Oryctolagus cuniculus: one gene and its partner. The protein of the gene in region 1 interacts with the protein of each later gene in a pairwise test. Links are inferred from orthologs where the notes say so. Each region holds a gene or a part of one and is shown on either strand. Other genes may lie near its edges.

Region 1 (7,105 bases):
GAGCCGATGGGACCCCGGGCGCTGCGGGCAGCCAGCCCCCCACCCAGAGCAGCCAGTGCGTGTGCGCCTCCAGCCCCCCCCCCCCACGCCGGGGGCTCTGGTGCACCTGCCAGGCCCAGATGGAAAACCCGCGGGAGCCAGACGCAATGTTCCCTTTGCAGTCGCGGCCTCTCTTTATTGATAACTTCGCAACGGCGTGTGAACATCGGGTACAAAAATATTCCGTTCAGCTCTGCCGGCCGGGGTGGCCAGGCCGGGGCTCCATCCTGCTGCCCCCCGCCCACGGGAGGAACGTCCAGCTCTGTTAAAGGGGTGGGGTGGGGTGGGAGCTGCTCCCCCGCCGTGGGGGTCCTGGCCCGGGCATCGGGCTGTGGCCTCTGGGGCTTGCCGCAGGGGTCCGCGGACGTGCTGCGGGGGTCCTGCGGCCCCGGGGCGGGGCTGTCCCGCCAGCCCGGGCCGCCCGCCCGCGGCGCGGGGCTACTGGCCCTGCGGCTCCTCCTCGGACTGGCTGTGGCCGTTGAGGGCGGGGGAGCCGGGCCGGGCGTGGGCCAGGTCCTCGAAGCCGGGGCTGAGGGAGGGCGAGACGGTGTCGGGGCTGGTGTCGTAGGAGCCGGAGCTCTGCTCCGAGGTGGCGATGGTGGTCGTGGTGCTGGGCGGGATGGGGTCCTCCTCCTCGTCCTCCAGGAGCGAGGCCTCGGGGATGTCTGCGAGAGGAGGCGGAGGTGGGGCCCCGACGGCCCGCCCACCGCGGCCACGGCCCCGCCCACCTTCCGGGGGAGGGGGGAGGCCCAGGCTGTGACGGGGCGAGGGCACGGGCCCTGGGGGCGCGCCTGGCTCTGTCCTCATGCTGGCCCCTGGGCCCTGGGCCGGGAACCGCCCCTGCCCGACTCCGCTCCCTGCTCTGTGCCTGTCACGGGCCCATTCTGCAGAGGTACCCGGGGCTCGCTCGGGGCTCGCGGTGGGCTGGCAGCCACGTGGGGTGGCAGCCGAGGGCGAGCCCGCAGCGGTGAGCTCAGGCCGGGCCCCTGGGCCTCCGTTGTCCCGGCTGGGAAATGGGGAGACTCGCAGCGCGGCCCTGCCTGGGGGTCGCGGGGACCCGGTGAGGCTCCGCCTTGGGGCAGCGGTGCCGCTGGGAGGCCCCTTGCCCACCGCCCCGCCCCGCCCCGGCCCGGCCCGCCCGGGGACACTCACGGCTGAAGGCCTCGGGGTGCTGCCGCGCCAGCTTCCCTTTCAGCGTCCTGCGGGCGGGACAGGAGGGAGAGCGCGTGGCTGCCGGGGGCGGGGCCGGCGGCCTCCCGGGCCTCCCGGTCCCTGAACGCCCCCAGTGGCCGCGACGGCTCCGCTCGCCCGGTGGCAGGGCCCGGCTCTCGCGGCCACCCCAGGTGCGTGGGCAGGGAGCTGGATCGGACGTGCAGCAGCCGGGACTCGAACCTACGCCCGGACGGGATGCCAGGATGCCGGCGTTGCGGGCCCTGGCTTCGCCTGAAGGCCACAGCGCCGGCCCCCCGGGGCCTTGACAGCCTGTGCCCGTCTGTGTACAGAGTGGCAAAGGGGTCTGCTGCCCGCCACGCCCCCTGCTGCCCAGGCAGCCAAGCTCACACGCAGTCAGGGAGCTCCTCTTCCGGTCCAGCTCCCCGCTGTGGCCTGGGAAAGCAGTGGACAGTGGCCAAGCCCTGGGGCCCCTGCACCCGCGTGGGAGACCCGGATGGAGCTGCTGGCTCCCAGCTCCAGCCTGGCCCAGCCCTGGTCATGGCGGCCATGTGGGGAGTGACCCAGCGGAGGGAAGACCTCTCTCTCTCTAACTCTGCCTTTCCAATTAATTAATAAATAAATAAAAAAAGCCAGGATGCTGGCGCAGGGCTGGGCGCCCACCTGATGCGGCGGAAGATGCTGTCCAGGTCGCGCTTCATCTCGCCCAGCGCGCGCGTGTGCTGCAGGAAGCGCTCGCCCATCTGCTGCAGGCGGCCGCTGGACAGCTGGTTAAAGTTGAGCAGCATCTCGTTGGTCTTCTCGAAGCGGTCCAGCCTGGCGCCAGAGAGAAGGCTCCTATTCAGTCCTCAGCGCCCCAGTAAGGGTGTCCCGTGACGGCGCTGCCTGCCCCTGGGGCCCTGGCAGCTTCAGGGTGCTCTGGCCCAGCCCTGGCATGTGGCGCCGTGGGGGTCTGTGTCCTGTTTTGTCTACGCCCCGTCTGGGAGCTTCCCCAGGGTCAAGTCTGCAGCCAGCGCTGTGGCGTGGCGGGTAAAGCGGCCGCCTGCAGTGCCAGCATCCCGTGTGGGCGCCGGGTCGAGTCCCAGCTGCTCCACTTCCCATCCAGCTCTCCGCTGTGGCCTGGGAAGGCAGGGGAAGATGGCCCACGTGCATGGGTCTCCACCACCCTGGGAAGACCTCCTCTCCCCCTCTGGCTGTCACTCTGCCTTTCAAATGAACGAAAATAAATCACTCCCAGGATGCACCGGTCCTCCTCTCCCCAGCAAGGCAGCTGGAATCGGGGTGAGGCTGTGGCAGGCTCCGAGCCCGCCTGTGGGAGGCAGGTATGTCCCGCCGCCCTCCCCAAGAGACCCCGGGGGGCTCGCCACACAGCTCTGTGCCTCTGGTCCCGCCGTCCCCCCGCCTCCCCGCCCAGGAGCCCGGCCAGGGAGGAGGCCAGGGGAGCCAGCAGGCAGATCCAGCTCCCTGCGTTTGCATCAGGAGCGCGGCCGGAGTGGGCTCCCGCCCCGCCCCGCCCCGCCCCGCCCAGCCGGGGCTCACATGTTCTTCTGGGCCAGGATGATGGCGTTGACGTCCTCGGCGTTCACCATGCTCAGGACGCGGCTGCAGAAGACCCCGGAGGCCGAGTCGGGGGCGTCCATGTCCTCCTCCTCCTCCTCCGCGGCCTGGAGCAGGCGGGAAACACAGACTGCAGGGGGCTCCGGCGCGCTCTGGATCGGTACGGCTTCCCGGGGTCCCGGGCGCCTGCACGGAGCTGCTGCTGCTGCCTCCCAGCCCCCACCCCCGCCTCTGCACCTGCTGCCCCCACAGAACACGTGCGGCAAGGCTGCCTCATCGGGTCGCCCCCACGGGGGGGCGGGGTCTGCGGCGTGGAGCAAGGGGTTAGGGCTCCACGTGTGACAACCGCATCCCATGTGGGTGCCAGTTCGAGTCCCGGCTGCTCCACTTCCAATCCAGCTCTCTCTGTGGCCTGGGAAAGCGGCGGAAGATGACCCAAGTGCTTAGGCCCTGCACCTGCGTGGGAGACCCGGATGGAGCTCCTGGCTCCTGGCCCAGCCCTGACCATTGTGGCCATTTGGGGAGGGAAGCCGCCGCCGCCTTCTCCCTCCCGCCGGGGTCTCTGGGCCGGCCCCTGCAGACCCGGCTCTGACGGGGTTCGCCTGTTGTTAGCAAGTCCCAGGCACTGGGAGCCCCACGACCCAGACGTCCTGGACAGTGCCCGCTCTCACGGGCACACGAAGGACCCCACCCCAGTGGGCTGGGCCTCCCAGACCATGCGAGGCCCAGCAGCGGCGGGCGGGGGTGGGAGGGTCAGGAAAAATCTGGAACCTTGGCATAGCTTGGCCGCCAGGCCCACGCGCGAGATGACAGACAGCCCCATTTACAGCTGGCCGAGACTCGGAGCCCACAGCATCCACCTACTGAGCGCCTACTGTATGTGGCACACGCTCACTGCGCTCGGCGGTCACACAGCCCCCGAGCCCAGGCCAGGGTCCGAGCGGCCGCGGCCCTGGGCAGCACCCAGGTGCACGTGCGTCTGACGGGCCCCGCCCACGGCGGGGGGACAGCTGCTTCCTACGACAGCTGATAAAAACAATTTTTTCCCCATGAAATCGCCTTATTTGCCACTGTTAGCCAGGAATTCTTTTTATCCAAAACATCACGGGAGCCAGGACTGCTCGCGCCCTGACCCCGGCAGGTGGCTCGCCGCCCCTGGACACGCGCTAGGACTGTCTGCAGAGCAGGGCCACCCACGCGCTGTCCGGGGATCAGGGCAGAGGCTCCAACCCCGGGCCTGTCGCTGGCTGCCTCTCTCAGGAAGCCTTCCGGGCTGCACATCCCAAAGGGAACTCACGCAGCAAGGGCCCCGGTTTCAAGTGGGGGAGGGAGGGATCAGTTTTCTCATCCAGGAAATGGGAATGGGGGGCGGTGAAGGCAAGGTGGATTGTGGGCGGAGCTTGGAGCAGGTGTTTCCCCACGGGGTCCAGCCTGTTGAGGGCATCCCACGTGACTGCAAGAGGCGGAGCTAACTGCACAACGTCGCACTGAATTCCCAGCCACCCCTGCGAGGGTCGCCCACACCGTCGGCTGAACTCCCCACTCCGCGCCCCGGTAAAGACAGCCCGGGTGGGGCGGGGCTTGGGTCTACACCCGCAGGCTCCGCCCACACGAAGCGGGGAAACTGAGGCACCGGCAGGTGAACGCCCAACTCCAGGTCACACCGCACCGTCGGAACGCTGGTGGCCCCAACGCCCGCGCCCCGCACGGCGCGCCCCACCCCGGGCAGCCCGGGGACGGCGCCCGACCCGGCCCGGCTCCCCGCCGCCCCGGCGTCCCGCTCCCCGCCCCGCCCCAAGCTCAGCCCCGGAGGCGGCGGCGGCACCTGCACATCTGGCAGCCTCGCTCGCGCTTCCGGGATGGCGTCCGCGCCGCCGCGACGTCACCACGCACGGGCGCTCGCGGCGGCGGCGCACTCTGGGGCCGACGTGCGTGCGCGCGTGCGTGGTGGGGGCTCGGCAGGAAGAGGCGGGCTCGCTCGCCCTGCGTCACAGCCCACGTCCAATCAAACGGGCTCTCGTGCGCCTGCGCAGTCCGCGCGGCTGAGCCGCCGGAAGGGGTTAGGTCGGAAGGTATGTCCAGGGCTGATGTCCGCAGTCTCCCCCAGTCCGTGAGAGCTCCCAGGCTCCCGTCGCTTTGAATGATCTTAGCATTTAAGAACTTTTTCCTAAGATTTTTTTTATGTACTTCAGAGGCAGAGAGAGAGAGGTTTTCCATCCGCTGGTCACTCCCCAGATGGACACTGGGCCAGGCCGCAGCCGGGAGCTCCATCCGGATCTCCCGCGCAGGTGCAGGGCCCGGCATGCTGCCCCCAGGCCCTCAGCCCGGGGCTGGACCGGTCCCGAGCTGCAGAGACTGAAGCCAGCGCCGCCGCCTGGGGTGCGGGCGCCACAACGCGGCCCCCCAACAAGGATTTTTTAAAATAATTTTTAGAATTTTTGGGGGGCCGGCGCTGTGGCATAGCGGGTAAAGCCGCCTCCTGCAGCGCTGGCATTCCCTATGGGCCCCGGTTCGAGTCCCGGCTGCTCCACTTCCGGTCCAGCTCCCTGCTATGGCCTGGGAAAGCAGCGGAGGATGGCTCAGGTGCTGGGCCCCTGCACCTGCGTGGGAGACCCGGATGGAGCTCCTGGCTCGTGCGCACCGGTGGGAAGAAGCTGGGTCGCAGACCCCGGCTCTCAGATCTGGGATCCAGGCTCCCAGCGGGCGTCTTGGCTACGTTGTTACTGCCGCCTCTGCTGAAAAGCCCCGGGGACCAGGATTCTTACGGAGTTTGACAGTTTTTAAAGACTTTCCCTCCCGCCAGGTGTGGCCCGTGTTCTGGGACCCCAGGGACCACTTAGGTCCTGCTTAGGCCTGGAAGGAAAAAGGAGATAGAGTCAGAGGCAGACGCCCCCAGCCTCGCGGGGCTTCTGTGTTTGTAAAGAATAGGAAGGACCCTCCGTGCGCAGGAACCTGAGCCGTTGTGAGCGCTCGTTTTGGGAGCAAGGGAGGTTGCGGGGAGGCAAACCCCATCTAGCTGGGGTTTTGAGGTTGGAGTAGGAGTTTTGCAGGCAGTGGACGTGACTTGGGGCTGTAAGAAACGATGATGGGAAACCACACGGTGTGGGCTTGACCGTTGTAAGGGGGGGGGGGCTCGGTGAGCCCGCGGCGGCCAAGAGCTGAGAGAGGGGCCCTGCTGGGGGAAGCTGCTCGATCCATGGCCGTGTGCAGGCTGCCGCAGGGGGCCCTGCCAGAGGCCGGGGCACGTTTCTGGGAGCCCCAGACGGGTAGGGACAGAGGGACTTGGGGGCCCCGAGGACTGGAGACGAAATGTCCTGGTGTCCTGTGTGTTTACGGGAGAGGGTGGTGAGCGCAGGGCCGCCCCGTCCAGCAGGAGAGACCCATGGGAGGGCACTCGCAGCCCCCTCCTCCGCCCTGTTTTGGTTGCGTTTGCTCCACGCGTGTCCCCGGGTGGGCTCAGCCACTGGCCACCCTGGCCAGGGAGGGGACCTGGCCCACGTTGCCCTCCATGGCCGCGACCTTGAACAAGCTACGCCATGCCTCCGTTTCCCTGGCCATACAGGAAGCTCTCGGGAGTCGTACCAGATACCCCCATTCGTCCCTAAAGAAGGCCAACGTGGTGCCAGCATCCCATGTAGGCACGGGTTCGAGTCCCGGCTGCTCCACTTCCCATCCAGCTCTGCTGTGGCCTGGGAAAGCAGTGGAGGACGGCCCAGGTCCTTGGGCCCCTGCACCCGTGTGGGAGACCCGGATGGAGCTCCTGGCTCCTGGCTTTGGCCTGGCTCAGCTCTGGCCGTCTGTCAAGTGAACCAGTGATTGGAAGATCGATCGATCCCTCTCTCACTCTGCCTTTCAAATAACTAAATCTTAGGAAACAGGAACACAGAGTGGTGAAGGTTTATATCCAAATGTGTCCAAAATTACATCAACTGTAAATAGATCAAATACTGGCGGTAAAAGGCAGGGACGGGCCGGCATCAAGGCCGGTGCCCACGATGCCCACGCCCACCGGGGAGCTCCTGGGTCTGATTCCTGGCCCCGGCCCTGCCTGCGCAGACCCCAGGGGTGGCAGTGAGGATGCAGGGTGACTGGGTCCCCCCGGCCGCCCAGCACACGCGGGAGCCTCACCTGAGCACCCAGCTCTTGGTTTAAGCCCCAGCCACTGTGGGCGTCTGGGGCTGAATCTCTCTCCCTCTCCGTCTTCCTCCCTCCCTCTCTCTCTCTCTCTCTCTCCCTCTCTCTGCCTTTCAAGTAAGTGACCAAGTACAAGCCAAAGGCGAGACCGGCGTGCAGAGTCCACGCTCGAGATTAGGGGAGCACAGGACGGCGGCCAGTTCCC
Region 2 (6,957 bases), on another chromosome or scaffold:
ATGACACCAATAAGCCCTGAACTGGGAGTCTGAGCCTTTGGATTCCACTTCTGGCCGTGCCCCAGACTAAATCTTTAAGTTCAGCTCTACGTGGCCATGGTTCAGTGCTGCTGGCATAATGATGGTTCTAGGGGCAGGTGTTTATAACACAGCCACCACATGCCAGGCACTGCTGTAAGCAGTTTTCATACGTGAGCTCATTTTTTTGTTTTACAGAAAAAATACTGGAGAATTTACCAGATTGTACCTTTTCTTTTGCTACCTCTGGGGCTGTAGGAGATCACCTCCCACAACGATGAAGAAACAAAAACTGGACAGGCTGCCGAAGGGGACTCAGAGGGTAGCTGAGCTGGCTGGGGGCAGGTCTGCTGGCTCTCAAGGTGGTAAGCTCGCTCACCGACACTGCTTCTCCATGACAGGAAGTGGCCTGAGAACTGGCCAGGGCCACACTTGTCTGCACAAAATATTTTATAAAGCTCTAATACAGCAATAAGATGCTCACCTATCAACACAACACAATGCATGCCCAGACCTTTCCTAACTTGAAAAAATTCCATGATCCCATTGAAAGTTTGGGTTATTGTCTTAAAAATATTAACTTCCTATTAAGAACTGTAATCATTAAAATAACTCCAAAAGGATATAAGTGGTAATACCAGAAATCAAGAGCAGAAGCAGCTTCTTATTCTCAGCTAGAGATGTGCCAATGGGTGCTGTAGAGACCCCATCCTGGCAGAGCGGCCCCTTGGGATGGCCCAGTCACTGTAGCTAAGGCTGCCAGCTACCAGGTGGCTTCAAGGACATGGTGATGGTGACCCACTGACAAACAGCTGATCGTAATTTTCTTAAAAGCCTATCTCAATCCAAAGTGCATTTCCCAAGAGGCGCCATGATATGGAAAGGGAAGGGAATCCAGAGTCAGAAGCCCAAAAATTGACCCAGGGATGTTTAGTGACGTCAGTTAGTATGGCCGCATCACAGAATGGTCCTAGGGAAAGTGTTATTGGTCCTACTGGCCCTGCCTAGCCCGGCACTGCTGTCAGAGATGTGAGTGATCAGTAAATACTGATTCCTTCTCTAAGGAGCAGTCATGCTGGAAGAATGCTGTCCAGAGCTTTCTTCATTCCCATCTTAGTTCACTCGGAGCTGCTGTAACAAAATGCCACAACTGGGCGATGTATAAACAAGCATGAGAAAGCAGGCTGGGAAGGTCAGGGCCCAGGCACGGCAGGTGTGGTGTCCATCAGAGCCCCCTTGCTGGCACACACACAGCAAATTTCTCACTGTCATAGCATGGCAAAAGGAATGAGGGTGCTCTCCAGGGTCCCTTTAAAAAGGGCATTAATCCCATGGATGAGTATTTTACAAACTTTTTTATTTATTTGAAAGGGAGGCAGAGACAAATAGAGATCTTCCACCTATTGATTCATCCCCTAAATGCCCACAACAGCCAAGGATGGGCCAGGCCAAAGCCAGGAGCCCAGACCACAAACCAGATCTCCCACACAGGTGGCAGGGACCCAGGTTTCTACCTTCCAGGGTGAGCGTGAGCAGACAGCTGGATCAGAGGCAGAGCTGGGACTTGAGCCCAGGCACTCTGATATGGGATTCCAGCGTCCCAAGCAGGGTTTTGACCACTGTGCCATCCGCTGTCCCAGGGCCCCACCTCTTAACAGCTTGATGTCAGTGATCAGTCTTCAACACATGAAGCGTGGAGGGGAGTAGGCATCACCATTCAGAACATAGAAGCCACAGAGAAGGAAAGTGACTTAGCCAGGATCCAGTGTGGACACGACAGAGCCTGCCAGTCGCCCCTCTTTAGCACGCCATCGTTAACCTCAAGTTATTTTTTTTAGGATTATGTTAATTCTATTTGTCTTTTCTTAAGCTTAGAGTCTATAGAAATTTGTGGAAATCCATATAGTTAAGTCTTCAGACTTTGAATCTAAGCCTAACTGGACGGCTCCATCAGCCCTCAGCAGCCTTGGAGAGCCACCCAACCCTCCCACTCTACCCTTCCAAAACTGGAGGGTCAGGAAGCTACTTACCCCACATCACACAGGTAGCAGAGGAGGTTCAAACACCTGTGCTTCACCGAGTCCAGCGCTCTTCCAGCGAACCCTGGGTGCCATGGAAAGGAAAAAAGAGTCTGAGAAAAAGCCTGAGAAATGAATGTGATTTCCTCGTGGCGCTGGATGTGGGTGAGTGTCTCACACAGACAAGCATTCTATGTGCACACACATAGAAGGTATGCAGGGTGACAGATTCACTCAGAAGGTGAGAAAGTGAACACACAGGTGTGAGCATGGGCTGCCCCACAGAGAAACTCCCAGCGCGAGTGGGCAGTGGGCTGGAGGACCGTGGGAAGAGAGGACACCTGTGCAGCACCTCTAGCTGGGGGGGCTCCCCCCCAGGTGGCCTCTTTTGTGAGGTAGGAAGGGGGCCTCTGCAGGTGAGAAGCCATCTGGGAACGCTATGGGACCTTCACACACCCCACGTGGAGCTTAATCTCCATATCTTCATGCCGGTCCCGGTCCCGTCCATTAGATCCTGGGACAGGAGGTGGTTTGATTGACAAGTAGGAGGACATGGGGGCTTCCAACTCACCCTGGTTACCGCATCGGTGCTCACTGAGGCTACTTCAGAATGAGCACACGGCGTTTATATTTGTACAAAAGCAGTCATCGCTATACAAGGGGGAAAATTCGCCTTTTTCCTGCTCTCATGTTTAAGAAAGTCAACACTGAAGCGTAGTTTGCGCTGGCGCCTGACTTAAAACGGTGGTGCGTGTATTAATTAACGTGATTTCTCGGCGGCTTCATCCGAGTGCCTTGTAGCTCTGCGCGAGGAAGGGACAGCGACTCAGGGGAGGCCTCCACTCCCACCCCCTACCCCGGCCCTTTGACCTCCCCCGCCCCCACCGCGCTCTCCTCTGAGGGTGGCCCTTTCACCCAGGCTCTCTTAACGACTACTTTAGAGCGTGCAAACGCGCATGCAGCTTCCCGCCTGAAGCTCCGTGGTAGTGGTGGTGCCATTGTGCACCCTCTGGTTTCCTACAAATGCCACCCTTGGTTTTCTACAAATTCCTCTGCCCCTTGAATTCTGCGCGGCGCTGGCCAGGTCCAGGGCGGGTGGCGCGCTGCCTGAGCCGAGGGCTGCGGGGACCTGGTGGTGCCAGGCGCATTGTGAAGTGGCGGGAGCGTCACAGGCGACCTGGTCCCCGGGAGCGGAGGGCGGGGCCGGTGCCGCAGCGACCCTGGGAGCCCCGGGACCCTGGCACAGACGCACGGCGCGCCCGGAGGGAGCATGGCGGGCTTCAGCAACTTCACCTCGCCGCCCTATCGCGACCTCTGGGAGCCGCGGCCACCCCGCGGAGGACGCGCGTCCCCGGCGAGGTTGGGCGGGCCGGGACCCGGGGCCGAGCCGGCCCTGGACTCCTGGGCCAAGACTGCGGGCGCCGAGAGGGAGGCGGCGGCCCCCTGGCTGCACCGGAGCTCCTCACCATCAGCGCGGACTCGCGGGCGCGCGTACTGTGCCTCACCAAGGGAAAGCCGCAGCCTCACCGACGTGGCGCCGAGGCCGCTCGACCGCGCCAGGATGCACCCGCCCCGCAGCCGGCGCCTAGAAGAGGCCTGGAGCGAGACCCGGAGCAAGTCCAGCGCGGCCTGGCCACAGCCATCCCCCCTGCAGCCCCAACAGTCGCAGCCCTTCCCGCGCTACACCCCGGCCCAGGGGGACTCGCCACCGCCGTACCCCGAGGGCGCTTACACTCTCGCGAGCGTGGCACCGAGTGGAGACCAGTGGGCAGCAGGGGTCTGCGGCCACGAGGGTCTCTGGTCCTCTTCCCCAGTTCCCACGGAGAAGTCTTTTGCGCCCTCCCAGGAGTTCGGGACGCACTCGGCCTGTGTGCGCCCTCAAAAGAGGGACAGTAGCGAGCGGGTGGAATCGGCGGGTAGTCCGGGCTCGCAGCCCTCGGCGTCCAGCAGAGACACGCAGAACCAGCACAGCCAGGCGCTCACCAGCACCCTGCAGGAGGCGGTGATGTCCTCGCGGGACCAGAAGATCGTGGCCCTGGTGCTGACCCGACTCAAGAAGGCGCAGAGGATGCGGGAGCTGCAACAGCAGGCGGCAGTCGCGTGGGAGGAGCTGAAGCTCTCGGACCAGAAGGTCCAGGTGACCCTGGAGCGGGAGCGCCAGCTGCTGCTGCAGCGGAGCCAGGAGCAGTGGCAGGAGAAGGAGCCGCGCAAGACTCGCCCGGGCCGCGAGCCCCACGGCCGGCGGCGCAGCAGCCCCGGGAAGAACGCGCCCCCGGCGGAGAGCCGCTGGAGGGCGCCGCCCGAGGACCAGGAGAACCAGCGCCAGGAGAAACCGGACGGCGCGCGCGCCCTGGCCGAGCAGCGCAAGCAGAGCCAGGTGCAGCGCCTGCGGGAGCAGGAGAGGCAGGCGCAGCGGCTGCGGGAGCAGAGCGGCCTGCAGCTGCAGCGGAGGCTGGAGGAGGCCTCCCACAAGAGGCACCTGCACGCCGCCGAGGGCCAGAAGAAGGTCCAGCAGACCAACTTGAGCTCCCTCGTCAATTACCAGGCTCGCAAAGTGCTCCTGGACTGCCAGGTCAAGGCCGAGGAGCTCCTCCGGAAGCTGTCGCTGGAGCAGAGCTGCCAGCGGTCTCAAGAGGTCCAGCAGTGTCTGATTAAGGAGCGGTACCGGGAGCTGAGGGAGAAGGCCCGGAAGGAGGCAGAGCAGTTGCAGCAGGTCAGGTGGCGCGCGGGAGAGGCCGAGGAGCAGACGAAGGCGCGCAAGAGGGTGCTGGTGGAGCTGGCCGACCAGAAGATCCGGCAGGCCAGGAGCCACGCGCACAGGACCGCCAGGGACAAGGCGCAGCACCTCCGCGAGCTCAACGCCCTGCGGGAGAAGAACCACCTGGTCCTGAAGCTGAGAGCCGAGAAGGAGGAGAAGTCCCACGTCGAGGGCATCAAGGAGGCCATTAAGAAGAAGGAGCAGCGGATGGAGCAGATATCCCGAGGGAAACAGCTCGCCTCCCAGGACTTCCCGAAGGGCTCTGGGGCCCCCAGGGGGAGCGACTCGAGAGAGCTCCAGGACAGCCGCTTCGATCGGTTGGCACCAGAGGCGCAGCTGCGCGTCGGGTCGCAGAGGGGGCGCTACTGAGCACAATCCGAGGACCATCCGCTTGCAGCCCCAGCAGCCAGAAAGACACGTGACCATGCGGCTCATTTTATAATCTGATTATAACTGAGCATTGATTTTTTTAAAAGTACATAAAATAGCTGCAATTTCCTCTCATGAGCTAGTTTATTGATTCACTTAGATAGTGTAGCGGGTTGGGGAGCGAAATCGGCGCGTTTTTAAGAAAAGTAGTTGGCTTTGCAAATTTGAATTTGCATAGAAAATCTTCACTGAGCTCTCCAGCGCTCTTGGAAGCACACGGTAGACACAGAGAAGAATCTGCCGTCTGGGAGGCAGTTCTGTGTCCTGTTCTGGTCTTTTCCTATCCTAGAGGGTTGCAAGAAATTTCCAAGAAAACAAGATAGGGCTGTGGTGGGAGGATTTGGGATTCCCTCTTGGTAGTTCACAAAGCCACTGTAAAATTTTAGAACTCTGAAAAGGCCTGCAGTTAAAACAAAACAAAACAACAACAAAAAAAAAACTTACTCGTTTAACCTAGTGTTTGTTGCAAAACATGGGACATGGAACTGATGTTCTGTGAACCATGCTTGGAAAGGTGGCTCCACAGATCTCCGCAGATTGTAAACTCCTTTGGCTGTGCCTCCTTGGATAGACAGCAAGTGTGGACGATTCCATCAGTGCCACTGGCGTCCATTGGCTTGGAGTTCTGTTCTTTTGATCAATCTGTTCAGTCTTATGCAACAACATTCCATTAGAATCTTCCTCTTCCCCTCTCTTGTGCCTCTGAAGAAGGCATGTGACGTCATTCTGCCCGTGTTGTGCCTAAGTAACCTAACCTGGCTGGGAAGGAAGAACGAAACGTGACTCAGCAGCACGGTGTTTTAAAAACCAGGAACGCACAAACGGAAATTAAGCCATCATATCTTCTATCTTAGAGTCCTATGGAAAATCTCTGTGCTCTCTTTAAAAAGCCCCAGATGTAACGTGTGTGTGTGTGTGTTTGTGTGTGTGAGAGAGAGAGAGAGAGAGAGAGAGAGAGTGAATACGCCCCACTGGCAGATCTTTGTTCCACCTGCAACTGTGAAGCTGCATTAGGGGTAGGTAGCCTGACTCGGGGTTCCGTGCCAGGTCGGTGTGAGGTCCATTTTCTCAGCCCTTATGATGGAACCAGGCCCTCTTCCCCGTTCTGTTCTCTCCTCCTACCTGGGACCCCTCTACCTGCTAGCCCTACGGACTCCTATTGGAGGGCCCTCACTCCTTTGCTCAAAAATGTTCAAGGATACCTCTTGCTCAAAAAACGTAAGGGCTCACATATCTCACCTCCATTCCCAGCCTTGCTCTCTCCTTGACCAAGTTAGTGCTCTGTTCTAGCCAAATGCAATGTGCAACCCCGGGTATTCTAGGGTAATGCTTACGCTGTTTAGCCCAGCCCTTGGTATGACTCTAGGTGCTCTTTCTCAATATACCTGTGTGGGATTCAAGAAGTTAGCTCTCTGAACCTGAGCATCCTCTTCTGTAAAATACAAAGGCACATTCTAGGGATGATTAAAGAAAACAATCCGTGCTAGGAGTTTGGCATGTTGCCCAGCGCTTAATGGAGACCCTGTAATCGCATTCTGTGGCTTTTACTGTTACCAGTACTGAGCCTGTGTCTGTGCCAGGCCCGAGCTCCCCTATGTGGACACCTTTTCACTGGCTGTCTCCTTGCAGCATAGCCAACTCTGGCTTCTCTGAGCCCATTCCCATTCTGCCTTTTCCTGGCCACCCACCCTGACGTCCCTCTCCTCTGAGAAGCCGCACAGCCTGGTGAGCACT

What was found. The genes of interacting proteins can lie anywhere in the genome.
Region 2: the proteins of KXD1 (region 1) and CCDC185 interact in a two-hybrid assay, tested with the Homo sapiens proteins (2 studies listed by BioGRID and IntAct). The two-hybrid records come from large-scale screens. The link is inferred for Oryctolagus cuniculus from reciprocal best matches to the Homo sapiens genes KXD1 and CCDC185.

The regions. Positions count from the first base shown.
Region 1 is NC_091447.1:65,704,965-65,712,069, reverse strand, and holds KXD1 (kxDL motif-containing protein 1), read right to left. Parts: upstream 4,722-7,105; 5' UTR 4,592-4,721; intron 2,874-4,591; 5' UTR 2,850-2,873; coding exon 2,749-2,849; intron 2,026-2,748; coding exon 1,873-2,025; intron 1,239-1,872; coding exon 1,192-1,238; intron 705-1,191; coding exon 478-704; 3' UTR 150-477; downstream 1-149.
Region 2 is NC_091444.1:37,691,111-37,698,067, forward strand, and holds CCDC185 (coiled-coil domain-containing protein 185), read left to right. Parts: upstream 1-3,232; 5' UTR 3,233-3,306; coding exon 3,307-5,163; 3' UTR 5,164-5,316; downstream 5,317-6,957.